Linked DNA regions of Astyanax mexicanus. The protein of the gene in region 3 purifies or fractionates together with the protein of the main gene of each other region. This does not show direct contact. Links are inferred from orthologs where the notes say so. Each region holds a gene or a part of one and is shown on either strand. Other genes may lie near its edges. The genes, in order: hirip3, ccnl1a, csnk2b and rnf111.

What was found.
Region 1: the proteins of csnk2b (region 3) and hirip3 purify together in Homo sapiens (affinity purification with mass spectrometry; 4 studies listed by BioGRID and IntAct, with this or other methods). This does not show direct contact. The link is inferred for Astyanax mexicanus from reciprocal best matches to the Homo sapiens genes CSNK2B and HIRIP3.
Region 2: the proteins of csnk2b (region 3) and ccnl1a purify together in Homo sapiens (co-immunoprecipitation; 3 studies listed by BioGRID and IntAct, with this or other methods). This does not show direct contact. The link is inferred for Astyanax mexicanus from reciprocal best matches to the Homo sapiens genes CSNK2B and CCNL1.
Region 4: the proteins of csnk2b (region 3) and rnf111 purify together in Homo sapiens (co-immunoprecipitation; 3 studies listed by BioGRID and IntAct, with this or other methods). This does not show direct contact. The link is inferred for Astyanax mexicanus from reciprocal best matches to the Homo sapiens genes CSNK2B and RNF111.

What each region holds. Positions count from the first base shown.
Region 1 is NC_064426.1:34,701,152-34,708,205, reverse strand, and holds the start of hirip3 (HIRA-interacting protein 3), read right to left. Parts: upstream 3,016-7,054; 5' UTR 2,932-3,015; coding exon 2,864-2,931; intron 2,646-2,863; coding exon 2,519-2,645; intron 2,120-2,518; coding exon 1,972-2,119; intron 729-1,971; coding exon 1-728. Other genes in the region: kctd13 (BTB/POZ domain-containing adapter for CUL3-mediated RhoA degradation protein 1), read right to left, coding at 6,450-6,701. UniProt on the Homo sapiens protein: Histone chaperone that carries a H2A-H2B histone complex and facilitates its deposition onto chromatin.
Region 2 is NC_064416.1:35,501,263-35,508,657, reverse strand, and holds the start of ccnl1a (cyclin-L1a), read right to left. Parts: upstream 3,024-7,395; 5' UTR 2,922-3,023; coding exon 2,664-2,921; intron 2,467-2,663; coding exon 2,392-2,466; intron 1,321-2,391; coding exon 1,211-1,320; intron 1-1,210. UniProt on the Homo sapiens protein: Involved in pre-mRNA splicing. Functions in association with cyclin-dependent kinases (CDKs). Inhibited by the CDK-specific inhibitor CDKN1A/p21. May play a role in the regulation of RNA polymerase II (pol II).
Region 3 is NC_064410.1:37,124,617-37,132,613, reverse strand, and holds the start of csnk2b (casein kinase II subunit beta), read right to left. Parts: upstream 3,003-7,997; 5' UTR 2,918-3,002; exon of another isoform or gene 2,889-2,917; intron 1,841-2,888; 5' UTR 1,831-1,840; coding exon 1,759-1,830; intron 712-1,758; coding exon 609-711; intron 1-608. UniProt on the Homo sapiens protein: Regulatory subunit of casein kinase II/CK2.
Region 4 is NC_064430.1:30,984,421-30,992,023, forward strand, and holds the start of rnf111 (E3 ubiquitin-protein ligase Arkadia), read left to right. Parts: upstream 1-4,590; 5' UTR 4,591-5,327; intron 5,328-7,603. UniProt on the Homo sapiens protein: E3 ubiquitin-protein ligase. Required for mesoderm patterning during embryonic development. Acts as an enhancer of the transcriptional responses of the SMAD2/SMAD3 effectors, which are activated downstream of BMP.

The DNA.
Region 1 (7,054 bases), on a different chromosome or scaffold from region 3:
AGGAAGATTAGCAGTGATTTTCTTTTTGTCCATTTCTTCATCACTCTCATCATCACTTTTAATCTCACTGTCACCATTTTCATTCTTTTCAGGCTGTTTCTTCTTCGTGTTCTTCTCCTCCTCATCATCATCTTCCTCACTCTCAGAGCTACTTCCAAACACTTCCTTCTGCACTCTTCTCACAGCCTCACTCTCCGGTGACTTGAGCTCTTCATTATTCGGCTCTTTTCTTTCACTTTTTGGAGGGGTTACTTTGCTTTTATCTTGCTCTGTCTCATCCTTTTTCTGTCCTTTCTTTTTTATCCGTTTCATCTTTGTTTCCTCGCTGTCTGAGCTCACCGTCTTCTTTTCTCTTTGACCTTTAGACTTTGCTTGCTGTGGTTTTTCTTCCTCTGATAACTCAGAAGATGAGGATGGGTCTTGCTCGTCTTCCTCACTCTCTGGTACCTTCTTTTTCTTTCTTGCTTTAGTTCCCTTATCCTTCTTTTGTTTTCTTGGACTTGCTTTTCCCTTCTTCTTTACCTTCACTTCTGGCTGTTTTTTCTCTATTTTCTTCTTACTCTTCACATTTTCCTTTTGCTCTTCTTCCCCACTCTCTACATTCATGTCCTCGTCACTTTCATCATCTTTTTCTTCTTCTTGTTTTTGTTCTTCCTCTTCGTCATCATCTTCATCTTCTTTTAACTGGTCCTCATTAGCAGCCTTCTCTATTCCAGAATCCGGGGATTCTGATAGACAACAGACAAGCAGTAATGTATGTTTTGCATATATAAAACATTTGTTATGACACTTTGACTAATGAAAACAAGTATAGCATGCTACATGTCCAAAAGTTTATAGACACCTGCATTCAATACATTGTTTCAAATTAAGTGAATAAATGGTGGTGCATTTTTTTACTGCAATAGCAGGCTCTAATCTTCTGAAAAATTAAATCCCACGCTATTTACTTCTACAGTCATTCTTCTATGCCATTCTGTGGTCTGTATTAAACCTATATTAGAAGCTCTTAGTCTAAACTGGATAAGAAAATTAAACAACATTTTTTTATTTTATTTTATTTCTGCTGTTGTGTGCTGCAGTAAACAGGTTCCATGCCTTTTCAATAAAGCCCCCCATTGTTTCATCTCAACTGAGCATACAGGATCTCTTTGTAATCCCATTAAAGACCTATGTTTCTCTACATGCTTTTTTTAATCCTCCACCCTGTTCTTCAAATGGTCAGGACTCCACAGGACAATCACAGAGCAGCTATTATTTGGGTGCTGGGTCAATCTCAGCAATGCAGTGACGCTCAGTACTTGACATGGTGATAGTGTGTGTTGTGCTGGTAGAAGAAGATCAAAAACAGCAGAGCTACTGATGTTTTTAAACATCTTAGCATCACTGCTGAACTGAGAATAATCCAACAACCTGAAATACCCACAGCCAACAGCATCCTGTGAGCACTGATGAAGGACCAGAGAATGAGCAAAACAAACTGTACAGCAACAGACGAGCCTCTGTCTCAGACTTTACATCTACAAGATAGAGCAGTTGGTAAAATACGGTGAGTGGTGACAAAAGCTCCAGCAGCACTGCTATGTCCGATTCACTCATACTACCACAACGCACACTAACACCAAGTTAGTGTCACTGCAGTGCTGAGAATAACCCACCACCCAAATAATAGCTGTTCCATGGTGTGGTCCTCTGGGGTCATGACCATTGAAGAAAAAGGTCGAAAAAGAATAATAAAGTATGCAGACAAACTACAGAACTACAGTGCGTACTTGTAAACCAAAAGTGCTCCTCTGTATGCTCTTGCTTGCATATGGGCAGCAAGTATTGACACAAAGCGGTGGTAAATCACTGTATATATTTGACCTCTAAATGTCAGCAACTAATAAGAATGGTTGTCTGGATGAATTTGGACATACAGACTATATTTGCAATTTTTAAATTTATGAAAGCAAACAAACTGCCTTATACCTGGAAGTACTGACTCAAAACGAGACTTCTTTTTCTGGGCCCTGACATCACAGTTTTCTTCTGCCTCTGCTTCCTCGTCATCATCCTCTCTCTTTCGTTTGTTCTGTGAAGGGTCTGACTTTCTTATTAAAGGTTCATCGTCACTGTCCTGAAAAAAAGAAAAACAAAAAAAGACAGACATTTAAACATTAACTAGTGCATCATACAGAATATAAACAGATTACAAGTTATCGTAATAACACACACACAAACAAAATAAATAAATAAATAATAATAAAAAAGAAGCTTCAAGACTCCTGAGACTCCAAGGCCTTTAACTAGGGCAGAATGGAAGCACTTTCACCCCCTCTTGTGGCATTATTTATATATTGTCAACATCCTAAAATAATTTAATGGTCGTCTAAATATTTTTGGGCAAAATGTACGTTTTTGCCTAAATTATTTCCTCATGATGCTGCATGGCCAGCTGTGGTAAAACCTGTTTTCTCTCTTTTTAAGCAATTTTTAAGCATACAGAGCCTTTGAAAATACTAAATACACCACTCACCTCGACCTGCATCCTCAACAGCTCCTCCTCTACCACTTTTTTCAGCAGGGTTTTGTGCTCCACACTCAGGCACTCTCTGCCCACATGCTCCAGATAGCGCTTCCGTAGTATTCCTAGTGTTAACGTGCTGCACAGACAGTTTACAGCGTTAATAAACACAGAGATACACAGTGAGACTCTCGCGCCTTTTCATTTTTAAACATCAGCAACACAGCTAGCCTAGCTTAGCTTAGCTCATTATTACATGTATGTGTTAGTCAGCCCGCGTCTCTAGACCCACCCAAACCGCCTTAAAACTCTTCTAAACCTCCTCCACTCCGCTAAAGCTCACCCAGTGTCGCTTACCTGAGGTCCGGACAGCGCTGCAGCTGTTTGGAGACGAACCGGCGGATCACTGTCTCTTCAGAAACCATGTTTTAAACTCTGCAGCTCCTCCTCCAACATACACAAACACACACTGCGCCACGGCCGGGTTTGGCGCGCGCGGACACGCACTGTTGCGTCATCACGCACGAAGCCGTTACCAGAGAGAGAGAATTAATACATTTTGGTATAAAACTGATATAAAAAAATAATAAAATACTAAAATAAATAACAGAAATAACTACACAAAATAAATCATTCCGTTTACATAAGAAATATACTGTAATGTGTTTAAAGAGATACTGAGTTATATTTAACTGATAAAAATAATGTTTTAATTTAATTTAAATTTAAAAATATAAATAATAATATAAAGAGAAAAATAAATAATATAAAAAAATTAAAAACGCTCTGAACGGTTTAGTTACCATAAGAAAATATACTATACTAATATAAAATAACTTAAGTTTAAAAAAATAACGCTCAGAACCATAGACTGTTTGTTACAGAATAGGAAGATTTTTTTTTACAATTAATACTGTAAAATATAATTTACATAAGAAAAGGCTGAAGTTAATTTGAATTTATGTACATCTACTTAGTCTGTGTGACATCATCCACAGGAAACTTTCCACAGGAATTTTTTTCTGCATGTTTAGTTTTATATTCTAGATTTAACATCAGAAATTAAATCAAATTGAGCGTTATTTAATTATTAAAACATATTGGCAAAAAATAAAAAAATAAACTACATAAATAAATACATAAATTCCATTACTTTTGGCAATAAGTTTTAGAAAAATAAAATGTGAAGCACATATAGTTTAAAATACACCAATATTATATAATTATTTCATTAACATTAGGATAAACAGTTGATAATAAAAAAGTTTTAACTGCCTATGCAATAGTAACCAGCATTAAGCTTAGTTAATTCAAAGTACTATAGCTAGCTTTGGTTTGTAGTCTAATTGTATGTAGTGAGTGAACAAAAGGGCCAGGTATGGAAAGGCAAAGGGCCGGATGTGGCCCCTGGGCCATAAAATGCCCAGGTGCAAATTACAACACTTGGTAATTGTCCAGTTATGGCCAAACATTTTCATGATTGGTGCAGTTATACCCTCTGAGCCCGCTTTCAGTCTGTAGGGGGAGCTCACAACAAGATTCCACAAAGAAGCGAAATAATAGTAATAGTCTAATTAATAAAATATTCTTTAGATGATTCAATATGATAATGAACAATTACTTACTATTTCCTAAGGATAGTAAACTTTCCTAACATATTAGTTTGCTTGCAGTACGTTATATATATCTCCACTGATTTATTTGCAAATCAATAGTAGAACTACAAATTTAAATAAAGTCCAAAAACAGCGATGTGTAAAAAAAAAGATTTTTTATTAGTGAACCTGTGGATAAAACAACAATTAATATTTATGGACGGCATAATAATACCAGAAAGATGTTAAGGTGCCAAACACTTAGAAAGTGGTGTAAAATCTCTGACAATACTGTTGTTAAGATTTATGTCTGATTTTTAGGTTCAGGTGAGTGGAGTGAGTGTTTTTAAGTGTGAGCAGTGGCTATGTTCTTAGTCAGTTAAAACATTTGCTCAATTGGACATGGGTCTAGTACAATTCTTTTTTACAGCACTGTGGCATGTTCAGCAGGTGAGCAGTTGGCTTTTACCTTTATATAATCATTGACAGTCAATGAGATACTCTTAAATAAACTGTTGTTTATCTACAATGACTCCAAAGCAGGTTCTTGCTTCTTTTGGCTTAAACAAAAACCGCGTCCTCATTATTATCACATACACAACAGAGCAAAGCTTTTAGTCACTCACTTGTTGTGACAGAAGACAATGTAAGCCTTTGTTTTGGATACATATGAAACATTTGTGCATTTGTCCTTGGTGTTTTCTTGGTTTAATGGGTCCCTGCTTGAACAGCACATTAGAACCTATGCTATAGTCACATCAGTGTAACACAGTTAGCTTCCAACAGCTTTGGTACTTAAATGAATAATTGATGTAATAAGTTGCTAAATATGTTACTAAATATGTAATTAGGTGTTTTTATTATTCACATAGATTATGGGCAAGCTTGGGGAGTGGCTCATAGGCTTGTTGTTTTTTGTAGTTGTTTGGTTGGTTGGTTTAAAGCATGCAAGAAAAGGAAATAAACATCTACAATGTAAGTTTCTACGTTTCTAAGTGAAATCAACCAGCTGTTAGAATGTGTGTATTGCAAAGCTGGCTGACTGGACCACTATTAAGACAGCACAGTGGTAGAATTCACCACTTTAAGAACATGTCCATAAAGAGATATCACTCAATGGCTATGTTCAGACTGCAGGTAAATTGTATTTTTTCTCAAATCAGATCTGTTGAGATCACTGTCCACGCTGTTATTTGCAGGTGATCAGAATGGATTTGTATGTCTGGACATCACAAACATATCTGCATGGGATGGTGTGGTATTGAGGTCAACGTCAATAGGTAATATTTAGGGATTTTTTTTTGACCCCCACACTTTTCTCCCTCTGGATTTTATGAGGTCATTGTTTGTCATATGGTGCGTGATGCAAATAATATCTTGAAATCCGATTTGAGCATTCAGAGAGTACAGACTGAAATGCATCTGTACAAATCCAATAGTTATTTCATTTTAAACCACCTCTTAATGTGTATATTTAGCAGAAAAATGTTTCTGGCTGTCCAGACCTATTAAAAATCCATCTAGATACAATCTCTCACATTTGAGCTTATAGTCTGAACATAGCCATAGACAAGTGAAGCCCCAGCACGTCTTTGAGACGTTAGATGTTCACCTACAGCTAACCTAAGACTTAATACTGCAATATTAATTGCAATATGGCCGGATAAGTATGACTGTCAACAGTCTGTCATCTTACAATGATCTGATGATCTCTCACATTTTAAAAATTTAGTAAAAAAAAAAAACAAAAAAAACAAAACAATTTACAAAAGAGTAGGTTGAGGATGGCACACAGTCCAGTAAGAACACACATCATACATCAGTCAAGTATGGGTCACTTCTAAGTACCACTTTCTGCATACAACAACAACGCATTTCACTATTAGGTGCACAATACACCCCATACTCTTCCTTCCACACACACATAAAGCAATAACTTATTTCACATGTACCTTTACAAAGTGAAAAATGTGAAAAATCTGGACAATAAATTAATGAAATAATAAATAAAAAACAAAAACAACTAAAAAAACTGAATGACATGTACCTTCATCCTCAAAAATAATTATAACAATAATAATAATAAGACAAATAAAGCGAAACCACACTGTGGCTCATTTGGGATCATTTTGAAGCAAGTCCATATAAACCCCCACCCCACCTTCAGTGCAGTGTTAGCGTACCAAATTTTACTCCCTCCTCCATTCATGCCATGCTTTTCTCTCCATTCATCCATCTTTTTTGTTTCAACCTCAAAATGACCGTGGACGTAATTTCCAGTTATAGTACCTGTATCCTATTCCTTCATTCTACATCTCCACATCTCCTCATTCTACTTATCTTCTCTCTCAGTCCTTGTACACAGTCTGCTGTCCGTGTCCCCTCTCATCGTGCATAATGTGTCTCCGCACATGGATCCGCCTCACCCTTCTGTCTCCACCCCCTACGCCAGCCCCGTCCTCCTCAGACTGGCCCACACCTGGAGACGAGACGCCGCCGGACTCCAGCAGAGCCATTCCTCCGTGACCAGAGGCTCGTCCATTCTCATAAATTAAGATGTTCAGGGTTTCCTCAAAGATGCGAGCTTCTGGAAACTCAACCTGGGAGAGGAGTAAAAGGTGTGTCAGGTTGGGTAATGTTTAGTAAAAAATATCTGTATGCCAACTAGGGGTGGGTGATATGGCCCTAAAATAATATCACGATATTTCATGGTATTATCGCGATAACGATACTCTTGGTGATATGACAAGAAATAAAAAAATACACTACTGCAACAAAACAAAACTTAAATTTTATTATTGTATACGATATCATATTGCACAGTTAGAGGTGTGCAATATGATATTGCACACCTCTAACTAAGATATTAAAAAAAACAAGAATTCTAGCATATTTGTAACAGAAGTCAATGATTCAGAATGTCATGATACTACTTATAATAATGCACTCCAAA
Region 2 (7,395 bases), on a different chromosome or scaffold from region 3:
TAGAAAATACTGCTACTTCTCTTGGCTCTATAAAAATTTAAATACAATGCACTATAGTAAGACCAAACAAAAACTAAAAAATATATATACACATATCTGCACAAAGCTTGATATCTATTTGAGAGCTTTCAAAATTCACTGTTAACATGACTAACTTCATGAACTCACAACAACATACAAGTAGACAACATACTCATTGTGCCAAAGATATTTGAGCATTACACTGTGTGGACAACTAACTATACAACTAATGTGAGTCCAAAGAGTGTGGGAACACAAATGATCACAAGCGAGGATGCAGGATGAAGTGTTTGGTATAAACAGCCCTGCTAACTTCCCTGTCTTAAATCGTACAACTAAAACTGGCTAATCTGAGGTGTGTGGTTTTTGTGAAAGCTGTGATATGAGGTGGGTTTGTCTATTTTTTGGCTTGTAAAATGATTTTATATAAATCACTCATCACCCGTGTTAGCAAAGACAGAAAAAAACTTAAACTGAGACACAGGAGTCACCCAGGCGCTTCGGGACCAGCGGCCAACCTGTCGTCCCCGATTTCCCAGTGACCGCTTTCAGACCACTGGCGTCTCCCAGGGGAGCGGGGGGAAGCGACACCTCGCTCACTGTTGCCATGTCGACTGCTTCATCTCTACGTACCATTCCACATCACCCAGGCTTTGGTAAATGTAGCTGGTCGCTGTTAGTTGGTTGCAAGGGAAAAAAGAATTCAAGTTAATACCTCAGTTCTTACTCAGTTGAACAAACCTATCACCCAACCCTACCCACTTATAATTTAAATTTATCCCTTTTTTTTTTAAACATTACTACGATATATAAAAATAGTTTTCAATACTGCTTGATTAATGTACTGAGTGTTCAGGATGCATTTATCTTGCTCAGGTAAGCAGATTACTACCTTGCTGTTACTATCAACTTATGACTGATGATGAAACTGAAAAGTCTTAAAATGGTTTAGAGTACATAAATCAAACAAAAAGGCACTGAAATCAAGACATTCTATAAAAAAAAAACAAAGGCACAGAGACTAGTCACAGTAAACATGTTTAAAATATACCTGATTCACTTATGTTAAGTGATGACGTTAAATGTTACACAATGAAACATATCTGTCAAGGTGGGAGGTTGTTGGTACAGGTAACAAACAGAAGAAACAGTCGAGAATGTGACAAAACAAAAGCACTAGACTGCTCACCTTTTGCCTCTGATCTGTCTCAAGTGATGAAAAACGTTGATGACATCTCTTATTCGACGTGGGGCTTCTTCAATCTTTGAGGCCAGATTAATACAGGCCATGGCAACAATCTGAGGAGGGAACAGAAACAGTGAGGTAATATAGGATGTAGCTAAAACCAAGAGAGGCAGTGAGGCCACAAAATGAGAGTGGGCAGAAGAACAAACTCTGAACTGTACAAATCTGCATAAATTGTGTTTTAAGTTTCTGTTAGTGCCCCAATTACGTGAGATTGAAACGCTGTTCATTTTATCTATAGTTTATCAGATAATAAAAATAATATTATCGTATCAACATATGTGACGTAATATTTGCCATATCAACCAGCTCTAACAGTGTGTGATTACTTACAGCAGAATATCCCTCTGACCGAATTTAAGACCTGTCATCATGATAAAATTTTGGCCATATCGTCCGTTCATAACTTAGTAAAGATATATAGAATCGTTACTATAACATTTCTATAAATAACTATAGCTGAATAATAGGGTCGTTTTTTTATTCAAATAAAAAAGTCATTGCAAATGAGAGCGCAGCACATGAATAATCAAAAATATACTTTTTAAAATATGTCTAGTCAGAATGCCTTTATAGGTTAATAGATCTGTCATTACTAGTTAGTGCACATCACTAAATGGAACATCCTACTAGTGATAACCAATAAGATGTCTAATGGACTAAGCTATTCTTTGGTATGCTTTTTTAAACTAAGCAATTTCTACGTCTCAGAATGAGTGAAGTATAAGTTAATTTAAGAAAAACTCAGGTTCAGGTGACTTTTTGTGCTTATTATCAAGTTCAATTACTTAAAAAAATTTAAATGTTAAGGCTGATCGAGATAATCATTGCTAAAAAAAAGCTAAGTAATCCAACAGTGACACAATGCTTATTAATATAATAAGAGGAAAATAAGGTTTATAACCTTATGATAATTTAACTTGTGTGTCATTTGTCTAGACTTTAGAACGTTATGCCACATACGAGTGAGTATTAGTAAGTGTGAATAAGTGTGTGCGCATGCGCGCTGGCTTTCCCCGCGCTGTCTAATATGGCTGCCGGTGGTGTTGCGTTGGTTTTACGCAGCCGGGCCTGAATAACTATCTAAACCCTCAGCCCCACAGCCGGCCGGCTGAGCTCCTTACCTCGAAACTGTGCTTCACAAACGACTTGGAGTAGAAAAACCGGTGGAATAGGACTTGCCCCGTCGCCATGGCAACCTGTAAAATGAATAAACCACATTTAGACAGAAATTCAAGCTTTAATCCGCACATTAAGACCGAACCCGGAGAGACCGCCATTTTGTTTTTGTCTAAAGGAGAGGCGCGCTAATGCTAAAGCTAGCGGCGGCGGCGGGTCTAGCCGGTTACTCCCGGTTCAGCCCTCGCTCGGCGGGTTTATTCCCCCCGTTATTTACCTGCGGCAGTCGCAGCAGGATCCCCGCGGCCTGGATGAGCTCGCAGCCCAGAATGCGGAGGTCGGTCTCGGTGTGGAGGTCCAGGCCGTCCAGCATGGAGGGGGTCGGGGTGAGCTTCTCCTCCGGGATCAGGGAATTATCGATGGTCAGAAACACCTCCGAGTAAACCCGGTCCCCGATCAGGATCCCCGCGTCGCCGCCGGGCAGCGGGTTAGGGGTGGCGGTGGTCGCCGGAGTCGCAGCCATCGTGGCCTCCATCAGCGCGAGTTCAGCAGATCCAGAGACAGAAGAACAGACCGAGCGGACCCACCGACCGGCACTGACGTAGATCAGATCAGCAGCCGCGCAGCGCAGCAGCACGAGAAGGAGGAGGGGAGAGTGTACACATCCGCGCGATATAGGGCCGGCTCATATTTACACACTAGTCCCTCACTTAAAATTTGCTTTATTTCAGTAATCAGGTCAAAATGTGAAACTCATATGTTATATACGCGATTTAGGAAAACCCAGAAGTCAGAATCTCAGAAAATTTCCATATTATATACAGGGTTCATACAGCTTTTAACCCATAATTTCCCATTACTTTTTCATGACTTTTCCATGCCTTTAAGGCAACTGTTCATGACCATGGGATTTTTAAAAACATCAGTGCAGAAATGAACGATAAAAACAAAAATCAATTAAAACTATAGTAAAAATTGATTATAGTAGGTATAGTAGTATATATGAGTCAGATAATATGTTGAAACCCAATATTTAATAATAAAATGTGTGTCAGATCCTGAAAGCTCCAATGTGTAGGGCTAAATTACTGAACCAACTCTGATCTAATGTATTTGTTCGCTCAAAAGAGATTTTCTTTATCGATAAAATGAAACAAAAGATTTGTAGACACAACTTCCATGACTTTTCCAAAATTTTCTGGTTATTGTTATTTTTCCAAAACTTATCCAGGCCTGTAAATTGCTATTTTCAAATTTCATGACTTTTCCAGGTTTTTAATTACCGTAGGAACCCCGTATATAAGAGTGGGGCCTGTATATAAGAGGCAGTGTGGCCAGTGTATCAAGTCCTGCTGGAAAATTAAATCTGCATCTTCATAAAAGTTCTAAGCAGAGAAAAGAAAATGCTGAAAAAACACTACACTGACTTTGGACACAGCAGACCAACACCCGCAAATAACATGTCTCTCCAAACCATCATTGACCATCAGTAAATTTTGCATTTCATTTGGAAATAAAGGGAGCAGAATCTGGAGGAAGAGTGGAGAGACACAAGTTTCCACAATCAGAGGAATGGTTTGGTTCATAATATAAAAAATGTGATTTTTTTAATATAAATTCACAACAGGCACAACAATTTACCATAAAACACCAAGGCAAAGACTACATAGCTTTAAATTAATTAGTTTTATAGAAATTCTATCCCTAAAAAAATGTTAAGCTGAGCGATGTTGCCATGTGGGTCAGCCAGACCTCTTCCTGTACTCCAGTACTCACCGCTCTTTGGATTTATCTGTAACTTCTCTAAAGAAAAGACCTTTAATAGTTACAGAGGTCTCTGTGTTTCTGTATCGTTTTTAGTTATTATGATGAAAGTGTGAATGTGCTGTGTGTAAGTGTATAAATGCTACAGTAGAGAGTGCAGTAACACAATTTGTTTAAAGCTCAGTTTATTTCCATTGCTTGTCAATCAAAAAAAGTCTATCTTTTTAAAACAATATATATTTTGTTTACAATATACATTTTCTAACAACAGTATATTTGTAAGGACATGCATTTGTAAGATGAGCAGCAGAGCTGAGTATGTGGACTGCACCCCTAAAAATTTGCCAAACAGCTTATTCTGCAGTTGCTATTGACTCTTGTCTTGAGCTTCTGGTACCACCAGGGCATCACCGATCAGGTGCCTGTTTACAGTGGTAAGTAGGTGTCTGCTCCATTCATCAGCATAATGCCATGTTTGGCTAATATGGATAGGGCCTGTATGATTGGGCAACTTCAACCTGGTGTTCCCCAAAACCAAGTTGTATCATTATTTGGAGTGAGAATAATAATAGCAGTATCTCCAAACTGATGGCCAAGTTCCATATAATTGGGGATATCAGAGACAGGCCGTGAAGTGGGCGTCCCAACAAAATGACACCCAACAGATCATCCAACAGCGAACGAGTCAATGACAGAATAAACTGTTTGAAAATGGCATAGACGATTTCGCTAATTTTTCATGGGTGCAGCCCACATACTCAGCTCTGCTTCTTATCCTACAAATGCATGTTCCTTACAAATTTAAAAGAGAAATTAACAGGCTTTGGATTTATTGCCAAGAACATTGTTACAGTTGTTTAATCATTTCTTAATTTTTGATGAAGCCAAAATATCATACATGAAACATGAAAAACAGGCTTTTCTAATTAAATCATGTGTATTAAGATATAAACGAGTGAAAGGGATAAACTCTGTGTTTTTATTGTGTTTATTTGTATTATTGGACCCGTTTCTGATATTTCGCGATTTTGAATTAGCCTGAGTCACGAAACTAGTTCCCGTGACGTCGAAGGCGGGAAGCGGGTGCGGAAGGCAGAGTGTATCCCTCCGCGGCTCTGCTTTCGAAACGTGACCGTGACGTCAGTCCGCGGAGGGCGACGGTTTCCGGGAACAGAGGAGAAGAACAGGCCCCGGGTTATATATGGACCTGACGACAACAAGACACTGAGTTTAATACGGTTTAAAGGGCGACGCGCAGCTTAATTCGTAGAAACCGGTGTATTTCCGTCTGTGTGAGCCTTAAACCGAGGTGCGGTTGTGCTTCTTCAGACAGTGTGAGTGAGATATTTAACAGTACAGAGGTCTCTCCCCCCAGAGCTAAAACACTGAAACACAGAACAGTGATTTAACTCTATTGAGAGGACATGTACTCTACTATTATAGAGTATTTCTGTCCCTAGGAAAATACATGTGCACACAAAATAACTTTTAAAATACATTTTATTATTAGGCATAGCGTCTTATACACTAAATAAAGAACACTTGGAACACTGAAACATACTTAGAACATTTGCTACCTGTCCCCACTCTTTAACTATAAACTTTACCAGGAAATATAAGTATTAAAATCCTTCAGAAATGTATTTTTTTTGCGTTGTTGTGCGACTCCAAATCCCATATATGCTTTTTGCATAATAAATTCATAATATTTAAGTTCAAATACACATTTTATTTGTGCTCCTAATAGTAATAATAATAATAATAATTTTTTTTCTAGAAAAAAATAAATAACTTTTTTCCACTTTTACCTATTTGTTTAATAAATCACATGATAATACATTTTATCAATTTCAGGTTTGGGTCTTCTTTAAAAGATAAAAATGGCTTTGCATATTCCAGAAAAATACAATGTGCCTGCATGTATAGGGATTTCTTGTCATAAATATCCATTATTTGAACATGCAGTTAGCCATTTCTTTAAAATAAAAAGTTCTTGAGAGAAAATCAAAGAAATTAGTTGACTAACTTTTAAACATGCTTTTTAATTGTTACATGAGTTTTGGTAACAGAAAAAAGTTAACCATCTTCGGCTTAGAAACTTTGTAAAAAATCACGCAAAGCTGCCTGAGATTGATCAGTATCTAAATATATAGTTAAATATATGTTTTCTTAGATTCTGTGTTAAAAAAGATAAAAAATTAAGTTTAATTTGGAAGAGTTACAACAAAATCAATACAGTTGGAAACAAACAAACAAAAAAGCTATAAAAAGTTAATAAATTCAGCCTAGAAATTAATAAATAAATAAACCAATTACAGTATGTATTTGTACAATTACAATATAATTCCTTCCATTTCTGCATTTATGTATTATTCAATGTATATATGTTTGTATTATGTAATATTTGTAATAAAAGTTCAGGAATAAATAAATGAAACAAAGAATGAAAGAATAAACTGAAGAAAAGTTACAAATATACGTACAGTAAAATACAAATACTTTAATATAGGCATAAGAAAATTGTAACTAATACATAAACAAATACATTGAAGAGTATATAAATGCAGGAATGTAAGGAATAAACTGTACAAATATACAAGTGCTGTAATTATTTTAATTATTTATTTCTGTTCAATTTATTAATTTGTTTATGATTTTATGGCCCTTATTAATTTATTTACTTGTCTTTTTTTATACTCCTCTTTTCTTCTTTGTTTGCTTCCACTTGTAATAATTCAATTTCTAAATATTTTTTTGATTTGGCAGGTATGATCCTCCATATGTAACCAACTCATCGCGGCAGCTAGCCAGGTGAATGTATGGCCCCCATATCAGACACCACAGCAAAATTGGTTAACTCTGAAGAACTGCACTTACTATATAGTGAATAGGGCACAGTTTCAGACACAGCTAACATTACAAATAAACCCTTATAAAGAAAGCAATGACAGAAGCCAATACCACATCATATAATCAGTTCATAATATTGTGCACAAATTCAACACAATCATAGTGAAATATATAGTTAAATTATGATATTTTCTCTCCCATTTTGTTGACAAAAATAAAAATAAACATTTAAAAATATTTACCAAAATATCTAAATATGTGGTTTTGTCCAGTTTTTCACTACATCAATACACATCTGAATCTCATTTGACCATCCAACACATTTAAATATATATTAAATATACATAAATATATTAATCTTTAATGAAACTCTTGGCTCTTAGTCCTTAAGCAAA
Region 3 (7,997 bases):
CCTTTTTGTTGCTTGGGTGACTTAATATGACAGAAGTGATCAAACTGCAGAAATTTATTCTTTAAACAGGAGACCCGGATAACAATTTGTAACCGGCAAACACTGGGTTTATTGTGGCCAACCTAATTAACAAACACCTTTTTCAGTGAGTAGAGTAACAGTATTAAGATCAATTTAGATTCCCTGCATTACCTTCCGCTTCATATAACACTGTTTCTCAATCTTGATTATCCAGTTCCCCCAGCTACTGATCAACTACTCAACTAAAAAGACCTTTCGCAGCAGCAGGGTGTTATAAAGTAGAGAAGTTTTCTGTGCAAGGCAGCAGGCTGTGGTTATTTTATGGAAAACAAAGAAAGAAAAATGTCACACTGTGATATACTATACTGTTTTTGGAATTTGAAAAGGCCTTTGTGGGGATATGAATTTTTGGTCATATTGCACATCCTTATTTTGGACGTGGAGTATCTTTGCTCTGGGCAAAACAATGTAACAATCCATGCTATTACATTGGCTCTCCTGCATTGATAATGATGGGTACCTGTTGAACATAGTAGTTTGATTTAACATTAGCTCATTTTAAGAACATGCTGAACTGCCATACTAACCAGGTTCCAGATCCAAAATCATGTCCAGAGCTTGTCTGTAATGTGGAACCTGCTCATTGAGTCCAGTGAGGTTAAACTTATCCTGGATATAGTCCTCATCCACCTGGGTAACACAGTAAGCATGAGTTTGAACATGTTAAGAACATTTACAAGATAAACATTTATTATTAAGTACAATTGGTGAACACATTAATATAGCAAGCCATTTTAGCCTAACATCACACCAATGAAATAAGACCTAATTTAGATCTTAACTCAGTCAAGATCTATGTAATGTAACAGCAAAATTATTTTGGATATCAGCCATGTAACATGGTTTTGATGTATTACAAGGAGCACATATCATTAATGTAAATTTTGACTAGTCAAGACTCCTCCTTTCTTATCTATAGTAACACTGTTACTTGGTAAAACAAGTTACCGACATCTAGTTTTACTTACTAGTAGAGATTGTAATTCTAGATTTGTAAAGTGCAATTCTAAGTATCAAAACCTCCAGATATATACACCATCACTAATCAAAACCAGAATTTATTCACAAAATAAAATAACAATATGGAAATGGTCTGGTAGCATAGATAGCCAGAAGTAATAATTCCAAAGCTGATCACTGCAATGAAAGATTCCAAGAGTAAAAACTGCATTACAAAGCTTAATATGTAAAAACTAAGCAAGTACCGCTGGTGACATCAGTCACAAACCCTTTAAAAGATGTGTGAAGTTCCTTATAGCACTTTTTCGGTCATTCTAACTCAAAGTCACCAAGTAACACATACTAAACATCCTGAGAGCATCACAGGACAGTTTGTGTAAATCTGTCCTCGTTCATCTTACCTCATTTACAAAACGTAGAAGTGCTGGGCTAGCTCTGGAGATCCTTTACAAAGTCTGTTTTTTGCTTATATAGATCTGTTTCTGCCATTTAACCGTTCAAATGTTGTGATTAAATGTTTTACATACCATATAACTAGTTTCGACCTGAACAAACTGTTAAAATATAAAGGTTTGAAATCATTTGCCCTCAATAATAGTTCAAGTTGAAGCTTGGCATCAATATTCAGAAAAAGGTCTGGGCTTTCGGTTAGGCTGAAAGGGTTTGCCATATTTTACCACTATTGATGTGTAAAGGTTTCACATGAAAAGCACGAACCTCACAGAAGAACTCGTTTCCTCGTAGACCACAAAACCAAGAAATCCACGAAACTTCCTCCGAACTGCTCATTTTGGGGAAACTAGACAAAAGAAGGTAAAACAAAACAGAAGGTAAGAAGAGCTCAGAGCCGGTGTTTTGTCGAGTTGTGTTACCCGTCGATTTGTGCTTCTTAGCAGTTCTGCGCATGCGCTTAACTCTCATTTTTACTGTTATCATGTGTTTTTCGTAATTAATTTTTCGATTGCACTGTACAATATGGACTTACTGCCATCGTTTGCTTGAGTGTTACAACAGTGTAAAAATAATGATAAAATATATAATAATAATAAAAAAAATCACCTATATTGCCTTAACTTTATACTGATTCAAATATCATACCGAGACCTCCACTGCGAGCACGTTCTAATGTTTTGTATTTTACCTTTAAATATACACTAGGGTAGCATAGTGTGACAAGCTTGCTAAAATCGACAGAACACCGGTAGACTAGTGTTAGCTTGGCTCTGAGAGGAGAACACTGAGGTATAACCTAGGCTAGGACAGGATAGGATAGCATACACAAGATACCCTCACAATTTACAAGATACTGATTTTAATGCTAGAATAGGATTAACTAACTAGCTAAGTACACAAACAATTTAGCTCTCGGGTTATTGACCCCAGCTTAGCTAATTAAATATATAGATATTTAAAACAGCTAGCTAATCCAACATAGGCTAACATGAGCTAAACTAAGCTAGCCGAGCTAAAAAGCCCAAATCCAGCCCGAGGCTGCTAGGCCGCTAGCCTCCCGTATTTACTGTGGGTTTAAATCTACCAGACGAGCCTCTGGCCACCGCGGCGTCAAATACACTGACCGAGTGCCGAGTACCGACACATACTGACCCGTTAAAACACGGAGAAATAAAGTCTTTCTACAAGAATCCTAAAAACCCGTTTTAGCCCCTCAGCTAAAGGACTCCAACATGGCGCAGCTCAAATCAGCCAGGCCGCATAAACCCGGAGCCGCGGATTCCTCGCTGTACCGACAAACACCTTAACATTTACACCCACAGCTAGCGAACACAAACAGCCCGCGCCCAACCCGCTCAGTAACACATTAAAAACAGTATATCTGCCAAAATTACCGAATATAAAACTCGTATTTGTGTATTACCTCCCGGATTCAGGCTAAAAGCTGCTGCAGAAGCGGAGCGCTGATTGGCGTGTTTCGTCTTTAGCAACGTCATGACGAACCAGGCGCTTGTGCTTATGGGAAGTGTAGTTTTTTCCCCAATAAATTCACCTCCATATGAAGACTTTCATTTAAAAACGCATTAAATGCTATTTTAATAGTTTTTATTTTACATTACATTTATTAACAATATTAACCCAGACTCATTTCTAAATATTGATATCAATTTCATAATGTAATCAGATAAATTCAGCGAGCAGCTTATTCAGGTTTGTCTTTTATTGTGGGAACATGACTAAATATTTTAGGCAGTGGTTCTCAAACTGTGGTACAGGTACTACTGATGGTACTCGAAACATCACAAGGTGGTACACTAATTAGATGACATTAGATGAAAAAAAAAATCTACGTGCATTAACCCTTGCATTATTTCCAAGTAATTATAAGAATGTTGTTTTTTAATCCACACAAAACAAGAACCAGTATTCGAATATAAAATCTAATTCAGTACAATTCTAAATGTTATCATATTTAATACATTATATAATTTTATATAATATAATATTTAAATTTATAATGTCCATTAAATTTTGAAGCCTTTTAACAGTGTTACTTTCATTATTGATATTGACCTTTTTACTTCACAACACAATGATAAAACCATAAAATGAATTTGATAAAGTGTTCTAAATAAGACGCAATAAACTAAAATAAGCCTTTAGATTTCATTCTTTGCTTGCCTTGCCAAAAACAACAACAACAATAACCAAATAACTTACCTTACTAACTTACTGATTGCAAACATGGGCAAGCACCACACAACAGGTAAAGAACAATTGGCAAAGATATTTGCATATATATATATATATATACAGTTGTGGTCAAAAGTTTACATACACTTGTAAAAAAACATAATGTTATGGCTGTCTTGAGTTTTCAATAAGTTCTACAACTCTTATTTTTCTGTGATAGAGTGATCGGAACACATACATGTTTGTCACAAAAAACAGTCATAAAATTTGGTTCTTTCATAAATTTATTATGGGTCTGCTGAAAATGTCACCAAATCTGCTGGGTCAAAAATATACATACAGCAACATTAGTATTTGGTTACATGTCCCTTGGCCATTTTCACGGCAACTAGGCGCTTTTGGTAGCCATCCACAAGCTCCTGGCAAGCTTCAGGTCGAATGTTTGACCACTCTTCTTGACAGAATTGGTGCAGTTCAGCTAAATGTGATGGTTTTCTTGCATGAACCCGTTTCTTTAGCACTGTCCACATGTTCTCAATGGGGTTTAAGTCAGGACTTTGGGAAGGCCATTCTAAAACCTTAATTCTAGCCTGGTTTAGCCATTCCTTTACCACTTTTGATGTGTGTTTTGGGTCATTGTCTTGTTGGAACACCCAACTGCGCCCAAGACCCAACCTTCGGGCTGATGGTTTTAAGTTTTTCTGCAGAATTTGGAGGTAATCCTCCTTCTTCATTATCCCATTTACTTTCTGCAAAGAACCAGTTCCACTGGCAGCAAAACATCCCCAGAGCATAATACTACCACCACCATGCTTGACAGTAGGCATGGTGTTCCTGGGATTAAAGGCCTCACCTTTTCTCCTCCAAACATATTGCTGGGTGTTGTGGCCAAACAGCTCAATTTTTGTTTCGTCTGACCAGAGAACTTTCCTCCAGAAGGTTTTATCTTTGTCCATGTGATCAGCAGCAAACTTCAGCCGAGTCTTAAGGTGCCTTTTCTGGAGCAAGGGCTTCTTTCTTGCACGGCAGCCTCTCAGTCCATGGCGATGTAAAACACGCTTGACTGTGGAGACTGACACCTGTGTTCCATCAGCTTCCAAATCCTTGCAGACCTGCTTCTTGGTGATTCTTGGTTGACTCTTGACCATCCTGACCAATCTCCTCTCGGCAGCATGTGATAGCTTGCGTTTTCTTCCTGATCGTGGCAGTGACACAACTGTTCCATGCACTTTATACTTGCGTATAATTGTCTGCACAGTTGCTCTTGGGACCTGTAGCTGCTTTGAAATGGCTCCAAGTGACTTCCCTGACTTGTTCAAGTCAATAATTCGCTTTTTCAGATCCACACTGAGTTCCTTTGACTTTCCCATTGTAGCTTTTGTAGCTGAGTCTAATCACTGGGTCAAATGAGCCCTATTTAAATGGGCTCATGAGAAGTCAACAGCTGTAGTCAATCAGAATCACTTACAAGAAGTGAAGAGGCCATGACATGAAGCTAATTTGATTGACACAACTCGCTACATCACCAAAATTGACAAATTTTGTTGCTGTATGTATATTTTTGACCCAGCAGATTTGGTGACATTTTCAGCAGACCCATAATAAATTTATGAAAGAACCAAATTTTATGACTGTTTTTTGTGACAAACATGTATGTGTTCCGATCACTCTATCACAGAAAAATAAGAGTTGTAGAACTTATTGAAAACTCAAGACAGCCATAACATTATGTTTTTTTACAAGTGTATGTAAACTTTTGACCACAACTGTATATATATATATATATATATATATATATATATATATATATATGTTTGGATTACATGTGTAGCTTACTGTGTGTGTGGTACATGTTTTTCTGTGGAATGGCTTCTAGGTGGTAGAATGATTCAGAAATCATTATTTGGTGTAATAGCCCTTGTTTTTAATCGCAGTTTCATGCATCTTGACATGTTCTCCTCCACCAGTCTTAAACACTGCTTTTGGATAACTTTATGAAGTTTGAGAATCACTGTTTTCAAGTAAAAATCATGATGTAATATAAATGAGACAACAGCTAACTCACACATTTTATTAACATTTTGTTCTAAAAATCTGAACTAGTTACATGGAACATAAAAAATTCAAGCCTTTAAACGGTTAAATCATAGGAACAGAGCTATAAAGCTAAAATACACTTTTTAATAGAGCTAGCTTATCTCCAGCACAAACCTAGACCTACATATTGTAAATAAGAACAGATGAACAAACACACATTTACACACTGTCCTGTGATGCATTCAGGATGTTCAGTAGATGTCAGTTAGGAACTCAAAGTGAAGAACAGAGTGGCGTTAGGCAATTTACACAGATTTTAAAGGGTATTTGACTGACGTCACCTTGGGTTCTGCTTTATCATAATTAAGTTTTTTTTTTGTAATAAAGATTGTTTAACATTTATATAGTATAAATGTACTATACAGACACATCCTGTCTTCCAGAAAACATTTTTCATGATCATGTCTTAAACTTCAGCATTAAGAAATCTGGGTCAAGAAGCCCTGTAAAAAGGCCAAAGGGAGATGGGGACTCTCAGCTGTTTGTTGGAGGTTTTTTTTACAGTATCTTTAACATAGTTGACAGTAGCAGAGTATGGGAAGCTTATTGATTACTTGGAAGCCTCTTTAAGCCTGTATGATAAAGACCTTTGCTTTGGTGCCTTTTCATTACACTACTTTTAAAGTGCTAATATGATTTGTATTGGACTTAGCCACTGTCTAAACTGTTAGCATTTTTGATGTTATTTTACACTCATAGCTGAAATCTCATTTGTCTTATACAGTCTCTGACTTTTGACAGTCCCCTAATAGACCACATATTGCTTTCTGGCTTCTGCTTAAGTATCTTTTATGTGTTTGTGTCCTAATTGCAGTTATAGGTGCAACCCAAAGGAGAATAGACTCTCCTAAGCAGGTATTACTCATGTTGCGATGCAGTTTTTTTTATTTGAGTCTTGGTTGTGTAAACTTTGACATTTTCAGCTATGCTCAGTGGTTCTTTCTCACGCTACTGTGGAGATTTTCTCTTTCAGTTTAGATTTCCCTCAGAATTTCATGTTATGGTGTTTCTTTTTTGTGTGTCTTTGTTATTCCTCGCAAGTTTCTCTTTTTGAGTCTTGGTTGGGTTTTATCTCATCTCATCTCATTGTCAACCGCTTTATCCGTGAAGGGTCGCAGGGGGGGGGGGGGCTGGAGCCTATCCCAGCAGGCATCGGGCAGAAGGCAGGGTACACCCTGGACAGGCCGCCAATACATCGCAGGGCAGACAGACACAGACAGACAGACAGACACATTTACTCACACTCACACCTAAGGGGCAATTTCAATCAAGTTACAATTAGCCTGAACGTGCCGTCTTTGGACTGTGGGAGGAAACCGGAGAACCCGGAGGAAGGTTGGGTTTTAGTTGTAATCTATTATATACATACTACTGTGGCCAGTGCTAACACATTCCTCTAACTGAACTGCTGTAAAACAAACAGGAAAATTACTAGCCAAAGTAGTTTTTGTGACATCACAGAAAAATGACAAATTGTTTGGATCAAATGGACTAAGAAATACATAGTATATGTGGAAAATGAATGTCTGCATGCTATTTCAAGGTATTTTATGATTTTTTTTTTAAATCTAGACCAGCAATATTAAAAAGTAATTTGGTTAATTGTTTACAAACATACACATTTTTGTTAACATTTGGGCTAAGAGCTGTAACATGCCAATAATTTAAAAATGACTACAGAAAGATTTGTAGTTTCCCTTAAATGTTGTCAGTTGTTTACTGGTGAGGCCCATTTTGTATACATTCAAAAAATAAGAGAGACCACTCACACAGGTCCATTAAAACAAAAGATTTTATTTAACTTTTCTCTCTGTATACTTTATTATAATAAGACACTTCTCTGCTTGTACATTGCTCCCTTGAACTTAAAAATGGCAACATTTGTTTGTGGGAATGTAAGTTGGGGTAGACAAACTTAGATACATACCAATATACATACATGTGTGTATATCAAGGCTCCAATAATAAACCATAAATGCTATAACAGCTGTAACCACTTCAGGTACCTTGGTAAAGTTGAAAGTATAGTACAATCTTTTGAGTATTCCAGGAATACACTTTAATGCTTATTTATTTATTTATTTATTAAACATGGGTACATACAATATGACCACATCAATAGATAGCTAAGAGTTAAGAAGGGATGAGGGGGTCGCACTGAGAGCCTATGGGAGTATATGGCTGCCGATGGCTAGGCTCACCGAGCGAGCTTT
Region 4 (7,603 bases), on a different chromosome or scaffold from region 3:
TATGGTAAAACTGTGTCTCAGGCGTCAGGCAGTGTATTTATAATCGTTTAGTGTAATAATTAAAATCAATAGTACCTCACAAAAGTGAGTATCCGCCCCCACATTTTTGTAAATACCTTTTCATAGGACAACAGTGAACATATGAGACTTTGATACAGTGTAAAGTAGTCAGTGTACAGCTTACTAATTCAATACAGAACCATTAATGTGTGAACCACTGGCAACTGAAATGTCAACATTTTGTGTGACCACCATTATTTCTGAGCACTAATTTAATTCTCTTGGTTCTGAAATTTACTAGAGCTTCACAGGTTGCCACTGGAATGCTCCTTCACTCTTCTATGAGGACATCACAGAGCTGGTGGATGTTACAGTCATATGAAAAAGTTTGGGCACCCCTATTTATCCAAATCATTTTTAGTTGTAAATATTTGGGTGTTTCAGCCATTTCAGTTTGATATATCTAATAACTGATGGGCACAGTAATATTTCAGGATTGAAATGAGGTTTATTGTACTAACAGAAAATGTGCAATATGCACAAAATTGGTTTGGTAACCTCATTGAGCTTTGAACTTCATAGCCAGGTGTATCCAATCATGAGAAAAGGTATTTAAGGTGGCCAATTGCAAGTTGTTCTCCTATTTGAATCTTCTCTGAAGAGTGGCATCATGGGCTCATCAAAACAACTCTCAAACGATCTAAAAACAAAGATTGTTCAACATAGTTGTTCAGGGGAAGGATACAAAAAGGATGCTGCAGATGGTGTCACTGTGCATCGCTCAACAATACAGCGCACTTTGCACAAGGAGAAGCTGTATGGGAGAGTGATGCAAAAGAACCTGAGGTGTGCTTTTGCATAATGAGAAATGGCTTCTTTTGCATCACTCTCCCATACATCCCATCCCTGGCTATGAAGTTCAAAGCTCAATGAGGTTACCAAACCAATTTTGTGCTTCAGTAAGTCAGTAAAAAGTAGTTAGGAGTATTCAAATCAATAAAATTATAAGGGTGCCCATACTTTTGCACCGGTCAAATTTTGGTTTAATGCATATTGCACATTTTCTGTTAGTACAATAAACCTCATTTCAATCCTGAAATATTACTGTGTCCATCAGTTATTAGATATATCAAACTGAAATGGCTGTTGCAAACACCCAAATATTTACAACTGAAAATGGTTAAGATTAATAGGGGTGCCCAAACATTTTCATATGACCGCAAGTTTATGTTGTTCTGATCAGACCACAGGACATGGATTCAGTATTCCAATGCCCTTAGTCTGCTGTCCTCAGCCAACTGTTTGCTGTGTGTGGCGTATGGTCTGACACCTGAGACCTTTTAACATTAACATTAAGTCATAGGACACCAGGGAGGGAAATGGCTAACTGAGCACAATTTGGCTTGTGCCCAAGTTTTGTTGCCAGTGGTTTAGACATTAAGAGCTGTGTGTTCATTTGTTTTGAGGGCTGAGCAAATTTACACTGTTACCAATTTTGCAAACATTTTGGAAATTTTGGTTAGTTGAACGCATTCTGAATGCTACAGTTAACGTTCTTAAAATGTTCAATCTCTCAAAGTTTCTCGATGTTCTAACATCGCTGCAGTGTCACTTGTCAATTTTTTTGTTTTGTTTTGGAATTGTTACTTTTAACATTTCGATAAAGTAAAGTAGTATTCAGCTAGCTGGGACGGTTATGTGAGAAACATTCTAATAATGTTGTGATGCAAACCATTATTTTGTCACATGTTTTCAGAATATTTCTGGAGATTAGCACTTGGCTCTATGACCAAAAATGTATATCACGGTTTTATCATGGTTTTACAGCATATCACACAATTTTCATTATCACTATTTATTTATATTTTTTGCATGACTGAGCTTTATTTAAACAGTAAAACACTTGAGGTGCATGCTATAACGGGTGATATTTGCACTGCTGTTCTGAGGTAATAAGTCGCAATCTTAGGCAGAGTGTCATGGAGCAGCACAGCACTGCTAACATTACACATTATAGCATTAACCTCAAGCGTATTCTTGCAATTATACCACAGTTCCATTATCACAATCTTGTCTTACTTCACATCACAGGGTCGAAACGAACTGTGGTATAATATAGGTTTTGCGACTTACTCTACTGTTATGAATAAATATAATATAAAACATTAAGGCTTTGATTACTTTGTCCCAAACAATTACACAATATGAAGAATAATAAAGAAATCAGACCTTACTAGCAGAAAAACAGCTAAAGAATGTAAACAATAGACCTTGAAAAAAGGTAAACCAACAACTTTTACACAGCTTTCATTACAAAATTAAATATTTTAAATGGTCCCTAAACCCTATAATGGACCTAAAATACTCAAAATGTATTATATTTTCAAAAAGCACAAGTTAGACAAAAGTTAAATATCAAATTAAAATATGTTGTTATTAAAGCCATTAGAGGCATTTAAGTATATAAATGGATGTTTATTAGTCACAATTGCCTTTTTTCTCCAGTCAACAAATACATTCAGTTCAGTGTGCATTAAAAGTATCCTTTTATCTACTGTATAAATATACTGTATTTAAACAGGGCTATGGTTACTGCTTTTGTAGTATTTTTCCATCTCGTATCCGAACATCACTTGTACTCAATAAATGATTCTGTACCCAGGATCAATTCTGGGCTTGTCTGGGGGGTGAGAGGAACTTTTTCCAAGCTAAAGATCATAATTTCAGCATAATTCCAGTCCTCTTTTTTCTCTGAGTGAATAATTGCAAAAGCTTTAGTCGTTTGCTGTGGTTCTTCTGTTTTACTTGAATAAAATCACTCATACAGTGAAGATCAACGGCAGGAGATCCTCAGATAAAGTACTGTTCTCATATCACATAATGTTTCTCCAGGTAGAACACAGCAAGATGAGAGAGATTGACAGAGCTTCACAGACTGAGTGAAGTTGAGAGAGTGATGTAGAGAGAGGTAGTGAGAGAGAGTGACAGAGAGAGTGAGGTAGTGAGAGAGAAAGTGAGATAGAGGGATTAAGTGACTGAAAGAGGGGTAGAGAGAGAGAGAGGTTAAGAGTGAAGTAGTAAGAGAGAAAGAGTGAGGTACTGAGAGAGAGTGACAGAAAGAGTGAGGTAGTGACAGAGAGTGAGGTAGTGACAGGCAGAGTGAGGTGAGAGTGAGGTAGTGACAGATAGAGTGAGGTAGAGAGCGAGTGAGGTTGTGAGAGAGAGTGAGGTAGCAAATGAGAGCGAGGTAGAGAGTGATGTAGTGTAAGAAGGGTGAGAATGAGGTAGGGAGTCAAGAGAGAGTGAGGTAGTGTGAGAAGAGGGAGAATGAGGTAGAGACAGAGAGAGTGAAATCAGCACATCACGGAAATCAGCTTAATCAACAGTCTAATCTAATTTATTTATATGATTTACTTTTATATGTAAGATGTGTTAATGTGTATGTGTATGTGTATGTGTGTATATATATATATATATATATATATATATATATATATATATATATATATGTGTGTGTGTGTGTGTGTGTGTGTGTGTGTGTGTGTGTGTGTGTGTGTGTGTGTGTATTAGGGGTGTGATGAGATTAAAACGTGACGATATTTCTAGTCAAGCTTAAACCTGTCTCACAGTTACAGTACAGTTAAAATGGTCCGTGGTACAGGTAAAAAGCTCCGCAGTACAGTTTAAAAACTCAGCGTGACAGTGCTCTTACAGTCCCAAAGATTCACAGCCCTAGTAAATACTGTACAAGTGACTGTTTCCCTTAGCTCTGTACTGTATGTTCTGTCTCTGTTTGCACTTCAAGCATAGTCTTAATATGACTGTTTATGGGTATGCATAGTTAAATAACGAGAAATTTAGGAGAAAAAAAACACAAACATTAGGCTTAATATGACTGGTTATGGTTATGAATAGTTAAATAACAAGAAATTTAGAAGAAAAAAACACAAACCTTAGGCTTAATATGACTGGTTGTGGTTTTGCACTTATTGTTTGCACTGTATAAGACCTAGAAAAGTTTTATTTTTATATATCTTATTCTTATTTCTATTTCTTATAGAATCAATGTGTAAGAGCAACCAGTCTGTTAAGTTTGAGCTATATGATTTTGTCAAATAAAACTCTAGTTTTCAAGGCATTTTTCATTTCTGATGTTTTCTTTAGAATTTTATTTTAAAATCTCGTCTCGTCTCGTTCTCGTGAACCCAGTATCGTGTATTGTCTCGTGATATTAGTGTCTCTCGTCACACCCCTAGTATTTATGTGTATATGTATATATATGTTTGTATATGTATTGTTATATATATATATATATATATATATATATATATATATATATATATATATATATATATATATATATATATTACCTTTTGTATATTAACTTCTTGTTTCATTGCTGTTAATTTTGTTTTGCAAAAGTTGTTAATTGCAATTCATGCCAATAAAGTTATTTTAAATTGAAAAAAAAAAAAGAAGCCAACTTAATTACATTGAAATTGAGTGAGGTAGTGAGTTAGAGAGACAGAGTAAGGTAGTGAAAAAGAGAGGTAGTGAGAGAGACAGAGAGTGAGGTAGTGAGAGAGAGAGAGTGTGACAGAGTGAGGTAGTGAGAGAGAGTGAGGTAGAGAATGTGGGCGAGATAGAGAGTGACAGAGAGACTGAGGTAGTAAGAGAAGGGGGAGAATGAGGTAGTGTGAGAGAGAGAGAGGTAGAGATACAGAGAGAGTGAGGTAGGGAGATAGAGAGACAGAGGTAGTGTGTGTGAGAGAGTGACAGAGAAAGTGAGATAGTGTGTGTGAGAGAGAGAGAGAGACAGAGAGACTGAGGTAGTGTGTGTGAGAGAGAGAGTGACAGAGAAAGTGAGGTAGTGAGAGAGAGAGAGATGGCGCCTCTCGCGGAGCTGAAGTCGGATCTTGCCAGCGGGGAGGAATTAGCGCCGCATTTCTCTCACAGATAAAACTGCGCTCTCCTCTCCGTCTAATCTCAGTTTATATCAATAGTGTTATCAGATTTTAACAGTAAAGCGCCATTATTTTCCTTATTGATGGTAAACAGCCGCCGAATCGTCGAGCTTGTCTGGTTAGCTAACGGTAGCTAAGCTAACTAGCTCGCTCGCTAGCTTTAGCTTTAGCTTCAGGCCCCGTTTGGGCTTTTCTGTGACTTGTCAGTTTCTCTGCGCCTCCGCTTAACTCGCTCTCTCCGGGTTTTACGCGTTTGTTCTTCAGATTTCAATCGTGTTGGGCTCATTTCTCGACGGATTGCCTGGCCTGTATGCCCTGGGAGGAAGTCAGCGGGTCGGCCAGCGTCGTTGAAGCCGTGAAGAGGTAACAGTGCTTCGGCCAGTCCGGCTGGAAATACGCTGCTATTGTTTAGGCTTAGGGACTGAACTTCACAGCTAGCGCTAGCTGGGTTAACACTCTCACTTTCTCCCTGGTTTTACCAATTTTTATTGATATTACGAGTTCAAGTCATATCACATATTACAATCAAATACTGCTGGATGTAATGTAGCTGTGTGTAGCTCGATATCCAGTTTAATAAAGCTAGTTTAATTAGCTATAGCTAGACTGGTTATGTTTGGGAAATTCCTTGCGAGCGAGTTAACGTTAGCCTGGATTCGCCGCCGCCACTGCTGCTCTTGTTTTTGTTGTTGTTTATGTTGTTTTTTCTAAGTAATACCCCATCATTATTACATATTACACATTTATAAACCTTTTATTATGTGTATAAGTCACGCTCGTGCTGTGTGTCTGTATGTAGGGTGGAATTATATGTCTAGAAGCCTGAACATCCTGCGTATGTTTTTCCTCCTCTGGCTCTCATAACCTAGGTTAGCTAGCTGACGACGTTTAGCGTTCAGCTCTAGATTACTATAGCTAGGTTATGTTATGTAGCGTTAGGCCTCGAAAAACTGAGCTTCTTCTTTTATCTTGCGTTATGTCTGTTTTCTCTTCCTTTCTGTCTGTCTGTCAACATCTTTTGGCCTGTCTTTCTGTCTGTCAGTACCTATTAGCGGTGTAAATAAATATCGGTATTGTATCGTATGGCGACATCTTGTTTTTGCAATACTATATCGATTTATAAAAGCATCATAACTGTTATCTATCTATCTCTATCTATCTATCTATCTATCTATTAGGGTGTAAGAAAATGTTGATGTATCGTATCGCAATATTTTGTCTTGCAATACTAAATCGGTTTAGAAAAACAGTATTATTTTAATTTAGATCACGTGTGAAGATTAAAGTCAGACCGTGCTTCATTTACTATGCTGTCTGAACGTTTTTCTTTTATACAGATTTTGTAAATATGACTATGTTTTCATATAATATGGTAGTTACCAGCGATGTGTTTAATCATAACCCATGTATTGTGATACTATCTGTCTATTGATAGAATTGTTAATGTTTTTAACACTGATGCTAAAAATCAAATATTATAAAGGTTAAATAATCTAAATTTAAACATTAGTATTGCTATTTGTGGCCTGATCGTGTTAATATATTATGGACTGGTGTGTGTGTGTGTGTGTGTGTGTGTGTGTATATAAATATAAATATAAATATGTACATATGTATGTATTTCTTGCATGGACCTTGGTGTGTGACCAGGCACACAGCGCACAGCATTGTAAATCTGTACCTACAAATTTCTGAACATAAGTCAGAGAAAGGAGCTGTAAATATTAAGCAGTTTTACAAATAACATTAGTTATTGATTTATTTGTATTGCGATATGTATTGATTTTAAATTACCTTAAAGCCCTGTGTCTGGTAAGTGCCTGCAGAATCGCTCCTTCATGTATAAGAGTTTGACAGTTTTTAACATCTGAGAAATCTTACAAATGCAGTTATTTTCCCGCTCACACTGTAATCACTGTTTTTGTTTTTATTCTCAGTACAATGCTTTGCATTTCTAAGAGAGGCTCGGAACATAGATTTTTACTGTACAGTAAAATCACAAGATTTTATATCAGGTTATCTCGCACTATTTCTATTGTTCAGTTTGTCAAAACACGCTCACACTATACAATCAGTTTTGCACATAAATGGAGGAGGTAGAATGGAGGTTGTATTAATCAGTCTGATTGGCGTGTGTCAGAATGCTTCCACGCTCATGTGTAGTGCTAATAGCAGGGTAACATAGCATCTATAGGATCTAGTCTCTGATCCTTGGGGAAGGAATTAAAACAGTCTCTCACAATCCTCTACGTTCTGAAATCTGTATCCACCTTAGTGTCAAGGGCCGTTGCTGCTGTGAGTCCCCTTGGGTGGGGGGCAATGTGCACTTTGCTCTGTGGCTCTGTGTCTCTGTGGCACATCGCAGGCTTGCAGGATGAACTCCCAGAGGAGCCTGGGATAGCACTCCACTATCTTAGTACAGGCATCTATTATTATTGTAAAGTGTTATGCTCACATGCTGCTGTGTTTGTGGATGATCCTTACTGAAATTGCTTAAACCATTAGTCTGAGATCAAAGTTATCTATTTATTTTCCAATGTATAGACATAACCTTAATCCTCTTTGCCCATTCTGTGTTTCTTAGCAAAAGCTCCAGGGTTAATGTGTTAACCAGGATAAGCTGGTATGTCAACTTTGTG